Sus scrofa: one gene and its partner. The protein of the gene in region 1 purifies or fractionates together with the protein of each later gene. This does not show direct contact. Links are inferred from orthologs where the notes say so. Each region holds a gene or a part of one and is shown in the gene's direction. Other genes may lie near its edges.

Region 1 (3,830 bases):
AAATACGGCTGAGAAAGAGGGAAAAGAAAAGGAAAGCTAAAGACAAAGCTCTTTAGGGAGAGTATTAATTGTTTTGGATATGCAAATAATGAGTCATAAGGATGATCCAAAAGGGAGGACCTCATGGATGGGTGGCAGGATACGCATCCTCAACATCATGACGTAATTAGATGTTGGGTGACAACGCTTGTGGAGGATGGAGCTTAAAAAATGGCTTAATGCAGAGTTCGCATCGTGGCTCAGCGGTTAGGGAACCCAACTAGCATCCCTGAGGACGCGTGTACGATCCCTGGCATCACTCAGTGGGCTGAGGATCCAGTGATGCCCTGAGCTGTGGTGCAGGTTGCAGAGGCGGCTCGGATCCAGCGTTGCTGTGGCTGCGGCGCGGGCCGGCAGCAGTACCTCCGATTGGACCCCCTAGCCTGGGAACCTCCAAATGACGTAGGCATAGCCCCCAAAAGACCAAAAAAACAAAAAACTTAATGACGAGCCTTCTCAGTCCAAGGTGTTTATCATGCGTTAAGCACTTTAATCTTTAAAACCACCCTAAGATGAGGATATCCTCTCCATTTTAGAGACGATCAAACATGCTCGGAAAATTGAGGTTGCTCAACATCCCAAGCTACCATGTGGAAGAACCATAATTAGAATTTGGGTCAGCTGCTTCCAACGCTCTGCTAGTTTCGCTGCACCTCTCCTCCACAGTTGGGAGCCGCAAGGTTCCGCGGACTCGCCCGCCGGGAGGGTTGCACTACCCCGGGACCCTGCGCGAGCCGCAACCCTCGCGCCCCAAGCCACCCGGCGCCCCCAGCCCTCCGCTTTCAGTGCGCCGGCGCGTCTGGCCGCCCGCCCTCTGGGGAGGGGCCCGGGGCGGAGGCAGTATCGGGGCTCCGGGGCGGGGTGTTAGCGCGCTCGCTAAGGTGGTGGGCGGGGAGGGAAGAAGGAAGGGGGAGGGCGCGAGGCCGCAGCGGAGGAGGAACTGTTGCGCCCGCGGCTGCGCGGTGCTGCTCCCTCCGCTCCAGTTCGCCCGAGCGGGCGCGGCGGCGACGGCGGAGGTGGCGGCGCGGGCCCGACGGGATGCGGCGCTACCTGCGCCTCGTGGTACTGTGCCTGGCCTGCGGCTTCTGCTCGCTCCTCTACGCCTTCAGCCAGCTCGCCGTGTCCCTGGAGGAAGGTGCGGGCGGCGGTGGCGGGAAGCCGCAGGCCGCAGCGGCTTCCTGGCTCGGGGGCGGCGGGCGCGGCGCCGCAAGAGGGGCGGGCAGCGCGGGCCAGGCGGCGCATCCCGGCCGGTCGGACAGGTACGAGCGGTTCCCTGTCGGGGGGCTGGGGCGAGGGGCGCCGAGTCGCGGGTCTCGATTTGGCCGGGGCTGCACGAGGGGCCGTCCCGCGCCTCCCGCCACCGGGCCCGCGTCTCCCGCTTCTTTGCTGCCGACTCTGACCCCCTTTGCTCGTTTCCCTCCTTCCCCTCACCCTGGGGGTGAGCCTGGCGCTACTCCAGCCTGAAAGCACCCACGCTTTTTGTGTTTGTCTTCTTACCCATTGGTTATGCACTATTCAAAGCAGTTAGAAATTAATTTTCAACTTTTAAATGATAGTTGCATCTCCCCCCCACCTTCTTAGGAGTCATTGAAAATTAGAGGGTCCTACAAAAGCCTCTTGCTGTTTGGCTAGTGGGAATTCCCTCTTGTTTCCATGGCGTTCAAGTTGAGATATTTAAACATCGGGCTGACTCCCTAGTTCAGTTTCCACCCCCTCCTGAATGGGACGTCTCATTTTCTTGTTAACGCTTACATTTTTCATTAGCCGGTTAGTTAAATCTGGACAGAGCATTTTATAAGGATTGTGAATTTTTCTTTAGGAAACAATCGGTCTATTGTGAAACTTATAGCGAGTTAAGAAAAATAAGCGATACTTAAGCTCACGTCCTTTGTGAGTTGGGATAGAGGTGGCTTTCTTTAAGAATCGGAGTTTAAAAAGCAGCATAGTGACTTAAGTGGATTTACGCAAATCACTGCCAGCGTTGAAATCAACGTGAGATTTAAGCGAAAAAAAGAATGCAGCGCATTACGAATGCTTAACCAAATCTGAGCGTTTCCACTTCCTTGAAAAAGAGGCGCCTCTCTTACTCGGGAGAGCTCCCTTAACAAGAGGCAAAAGCTGCTTTGATATTGGAGAGTATCGGGTTGGTTGGAGGAGTGCAGGTCAGCTGTAGGCTGTTTAACATTCTTCTGAGAGTTGATGGTCATTCCCAAAATGAAAGGGGACGTTTGAACAGAGGAGCAGAGCCCATGGAAAAGCTGGATTGTCATGATTTCACCCAGGGGTTTGATTACAGTCAGGACTTTGTTCATAAAAGCAGAACTACTTCCAGAGCCAGGTTTGTGAACGCTCAGTTATCTGTCCTGGGAGAGGCAATAACTGAAGATCTGGATAAACTCATGAAAAGCTGGTCATGGTCTATTACGCTGGAGTGAAGCATTTAAAGTTATGGGGAAGGAACTATTTTTGCATTGGGTAGAATTATAAGGAAGCAACATTTTAATCAAAACATTGAGTGAAATTGGACTCATTTCGACTTGATAGGGTAACATTCACTTTTAGTGCCTGCCTTAGATACTTATATATTATTTTGTGACTAATTTTTATAAGCTATATGTGCCTGGCCAGCTAATTTTAACAAAGTTGCATTATTTAAAATTCAGGAAATAAACACCTCAGTTTTAATAAATATTTTGTAGCGCCATTTCTGGAATCTTAAGTTTGATGTCTCAGAGTCCAGTCAGCCAGAAAGCTGTTTTTCTTCTGAGCAGCATAACTCCTCGTTTTAAATGAGGCCAGCATTTAAGCTAAAATTGAAGGTGTATCATTCTTTACAAAATATATGCATGTATAAGGAGAAGTTTGGGCAGAGGAGCAACCTGGAAAGGCTGAACTGTCATGTTTTTACCCTATGAATTCATTGAAGTCGGCAGAATTCCTAAGACATCAGGACTCTTTTCATTTTAGATATTATCATTTTTAACCTCTTTTTAGATTTCTCATAGAGTTTAGTCAACTTTTTTGGCCACCATGGGGTATGGATGGAGTAGGTATTCTTAGCCTCTTTTCCTGTGTGTAAATCATTGACCAAGGTGCAGAGGGCATCATAACTGGACCAGGTTAAAACCATGTATCCTTTGATTGCTCTGCAGGTGCTCTTCCTCTAAAGCTGCAGGGATAAGAACCTAGTCTAGATAGTGTTTCATCAGTAGAAAATGGGACTATGAGACAAGCAACATCTTCCTTTTTTTGTAGGACTCGATTATCATTGCATTCTTTTTTTTTTTTTTGTCATTTTGCCTTTTCTAGGGCCGCACCTGTGGCATATGGAGGGTCCCAGGCTAGGAGTCTAGTTGGAGCTGTAGCCACCAGCCTACACCACAGCCACAGCAACACGGGATCTGAGATGAGTCTGCGACCTATACCACAGCTCATGGCAACGCCAGATCCTTAACCCACTGAGCAAGGGCAGGGATCGAACCCACAACCTCATGGTTCCTAGTCAGATTCGTTAACCACTGCGCCACGAGGGGAACTCCTGCATTCTTACTTTTTTTGGAAGCAGTCTTACCTCAAAGATTAAAACTATTATTTCTCTCATTTAAACGTGGGATTAGGATTATACCCAGTAGGTTCCGTTGGTCAAATCTTAAGAGAAACAACAAAATACTTAGAAATGTCCTTCCAAGTTCTCAAAGTAAAAACACAGAAATGATGGGAACAACTTTTCAGTGAAATTTATAATTAATTAGTTCATTTTGTCTGAATCCCTTATTTTGGTATTCAGAAAA
Region 2 (3,912 bases), on another chromosome or scaffold:
GGGATTGCAGATGTGATAAATTCATTTGAGTAATAAGAAAAATGAAAAAAACAAAAACAACAACAACAAAAAAACCCATGGGATTGCAGCCACATTTGTGACCTACGCCTAAGCTTAGGATGGATCCTTAACCCACTGAGCAAGGCCAGGGATTGAATCCGCATCCTCACAGACACTATGTTAGGTTCTTAATTCACTAAGCCACAATAGTAACTCCTGGAGGATCTTATTCATGAAATCCGTACTGTTGGAAAATGCTTCAAAGAAGCAAACAACATCCTGTGGCCCTTCAAACTATCTTCTCCTGAAGGGCCCAGATAAATAGATCTAACAGGCTTATTAAATGGATGAACTGAGTTGTCTATGTGATTATTTTTGTAATCTGGGTCAGTAAATAAAGTGACTTCAAATTGTGAAAAAAACAAACACAAAATTCATTCTTCAGAGATTTGGCCTCAGCTTCCTTTTAAGAACATTGTGCTTTAACGGAAAAAAAATCTCTAACAAGATCCTTAGTAGGATCTACAGTCCTGCTCTGTCTCAGGCCCAGAAAACTGAAGATGTGCTAAAAGTTAGTTACAAAATCTGTGGTGTGTTTGAAAATTTTCCATTGCACCATCTTTTTCTCACTCACTGCTGTTAAGTGTGATTGTGCCCTTTTTGTCTTATCTTGCTTTTGGAAACATCACAAATTGAAAGTTGAAGTAACGCTGGATTATAGTATTCTGGGCTATATTTTGACGTTGGGTGATAAGGCGGCCTCAGACTGCTGGGCCCAGAGCAATGACTCTGCAGGAACGGTGGCGCCTGGTGTACAGCGACTCCAGGACAGGCCAAGGGAGCCGTGACTGATTCCATCATATCTGCGCACTCGCTGCACTGGAAACCAGGTCCTTCCCGATGGCTCAATGGACCTCCCACCCATCCTGCCAGCTTCCATTTGCTCTCTCATCGAAGGGAATGAGATGCCAGACCCCGAGGCCCGGGTCCAGGCACCTGAACGGTCGAAACCATAGAAATTAGGATGCAGTGCCGGGCAGCGCGCCCACTAAGGCACCAGAACAACCAGCGCGGGAACGCCTGCCTGGCCAGTCCCGCCCCACGACGCGCGCGCGCGCGCGCGCGCCCCCGCCGATCCCGATGCCGCCGTACACCGCCTCCTTCCATACTGCCCAACCAACAGCCACTTCCTGCCTCACTCCTAACCAATCCCCACACTCCACGAAGAATAGCCCTAGGGGGCGTATGGGAAGGTGCATAGAGCGATGGCCACAATAACCAATTGAATTCAGGATCTTGCGCGAGAGGGCGGGACTTGGCGCTGGTGGTAGCTACTGAGGAGACAGGGGCGGACGCAGGGCCGGGCTTCGTGCGGTGGGGCTCGCTCGCGCGGCGGCTGCAGGAGTCGAGGCCTCTTGGTTCTGCGGCACGTGACGGTCAGGCTCCCTCAGCCGCTGTCTCCACTGCAGCGTGGGGCCAGGTGTGCGGGCGGGAGGAGGCGCGGGCACCACCGGCGGTCCTCCTGAGGCTTGAGGTGAGACAGGGGCCTGCCCGTGTCTTCGGGCCTGTGAGGACCCTCGGGGGCCTGGGTGCGCGGCCTGGCGGCGGAGGTCTCGAGAAGCCGGGCGTGGCCGGGGCTGAGGGGTCCGGCTGAGTTTCGATGGCTCAGGCCCTGGTGGACCCGCCAGACGGGATGGGTTAGGCCTGAACCTGGGCCGCTTGAGTTGCGGAGCCAGGCCCAGGCCGCGCCGCCGGGGTTGGGAGGCGTGGCAGGTGTCCTAGAGCCTTTCTTGACCTCTGGGAAAGCTAACTTCTCTTCATGGTTCTGCTTCTAGGGCTTTCTTATACCTATTGCTGACTGCCTGGGAAGCTGTGAGGTGGGGTAGAGTAACCGGGTAAAGGTCTGGAATAGGATCGGGCCTTGTTGGTACTCTTAGTAGTGGGGAAAGGTGATAATAGGACAGAGAGAGGATATTTAGAATTAGCATTACAGATCTAAAATTTGAAAATTAAAACCGCAAAGTGAAGACTGGACTGTAGCAGCCTGAAGAGTATGGAGAATGTGCTAGAACACGCACTGGTTAAAAAACTTAAGTCCTAACATTTACATCTATTTGGAGATTGGGGGAGTAAGTAATCTCGTCGTAAATTCAGTGGGCTTTTAAAAGCAGGAAAGCACCCAAAAGCTCTCCGTGGGCAGGTCGTTTTATAGTGAAGGAAACTGAGGCCCAGAGCTCAGAAATGATCGGCCCAAGGTCATGCGATTAGTTTTATGATCACGTTGGAATTACAGTTGAAAGCTAGGCAGTTTGTGTGTAGTGGTTAAGACTAAGGCCCTTGTTCAGGTCCTTCATCAGCCATTTGTTGCTATGTGAACCTGGGCAGTTCACTTCGTTTCAGATAATGGATGTAATACCTGATAGAGTTGTTGTTACCATTAAGACGTGTGTAAGAAAGAGCAGGAAAGTTAGATGTACATTTTTAACTGCTTGATAAATGACTGCAGTAAATTATTATGGTGAATGCTGTTGATCCACTACACTAACATCCTAATTAGCTAAGTCCTATTTTCCAGGACCTGAAGTCACATTTATGGAAATAGGAGGAAGAAACTGGACCTAGTGGTTTGACTGCTGATTGAGGGAAGTTAAACTGAGCTGGATATTAATTAAAAGCTTGGGAGGAGAAAGGTGAACCACAGTTAGGTCTCTTTACCTCTAATTTAAGAAATAGAACCTTTTACTTAATTTCTTAATGGGTAGAATGGTGTGGGGAGGTTTTCGTTCTGTTTTGTTTTGTTTTAAGAGGGGAACCCCGTTGATCTTCAAGACTGTTGTGTACCTCACTCTTTTTTCAGTACTGTTGAAGGGTCACTGCTGAGTTGTATATTTGCTGTAGTTAGAGCAGAGGTAAAGCACTGTGTGGGAGTCCTCCTGTGCACCAGTCTGTGTGCACAAGCAAACAAGCCAGGAAACTGGATCATGAGGTGGCTACAGTGAGCTGTGTATTGGAGTAAATGTGTTGCACCGCAGATTTTCTGACCTATCCGATAATGGGTGTCAGCATCCCTTCCTACTTGACTATCTCTCCTTAACAGTTTCAGCTAACACATTATCTTCCAAAGAGTAAACGTTTTGACAGAAGTTGTTGCTGCAGTTTTGGCAATCCTGCTATTGCATCCTTTCAGTTACAGAGTTCACTTTGCCCTGAGAGATAGCTTAAGGGAACGAAGCGACAGTTGGTAAGCATAAATGCAGACTCAAGAGACTTGAATTCCAGGCCCAGCATGGTAACTAGCTTATGAGCTAAGTTGGTTTCTATGTCTTTAAAATTGGAGTGAGGAATCCTCTGACTACCTACCTTACCATTAGGGGGCTTTTTAGGAGGGACAAGTAAGATGGTGAACATGAAACTACTTTGTTTTTTTTTTGTTTGTTTTGTTTTTTGTCTTTTTGCTATTTCTTTGGGCCACTCCCTCGGCATATGGAGGTTCCCAGGCTAGGGGTCTAATCAGAGCTGTAGCCACTGGCCTACGCCAGAGCCACAGCAATGCGGGGCAACGCGGGATCTGAGCCGCGTCTGCAACCTACACCACAGCTCACGGCAACGCCGGATCGTTAACCCACTGAGCAAGGCCAGGGACCGAACCCGCAACCTCATGGTTCCTAGTCGGATTCATTAACCACTGCGCCACGACGGGAACTCCCATGAAACTACTTTGAATGGAATAATGAACTGAACTGTGCAAAGAAGAGCTGGCAGCTCATAACAACTCCTAGAAAATAATAAAAGTGCCTGAACATAGTTATAACCTGTAGACTTACTGTAGAATTGCAGGAAGGTACAGGTTGAATATTTTGTTGCCTAAAACAGATGTACATTTAAATTAATCTTAGCTATGAGCTGTGAAAA

Evidence for each region.
Region 2: the proteins of GXYLT1 (region 1) and CANX purify together in Homo sapiens (affinity purification with mass spectrometry; 3 studies listed by BioGRID and IntAct, counting the BioPlex papers as one, with this or other methods). This does not show direct contact. The link is inferred for Sus scrofa from reciprocal best matches to the Homo sapiens genes GXYLT1 and CANX.

The regions. Positions count from the first base shown.
Region 1 is NC_010447.5:73,405,476-73,409,305, reverse strand, and holds the start of GXYLT1 (glucoside xylosyltransferase 1), read left to right. Parts: upstream 1-946; 5' UTR 947-1,077; coding exon 1,078-1,298; intron 1,299-3,830. UniProt on the Homo sapiens protein: Glycosyltransferase which elongates the O-linked glucose attached to EGF-like repeats in the extracellular domain of Notch proteins by catalyzing the addition of xylose.
Region 2 is NC_010444.4:78,913,268-78,917,179, reverse strand, and holds the start of CANX (calnexin), read left to right. Parts: upstream 1-1,355; 5' UTR 1,356-1,534; intron 1,535-3,912. UniProt on the Homo sapiens protein: Calcium-binding protein that interacts with newly synthesized monoglucosylated glycoproteins in the endoplasmic reticulum. It may act in assisting protein assembly and/or in the retention within the ER of unassembled protein subunits.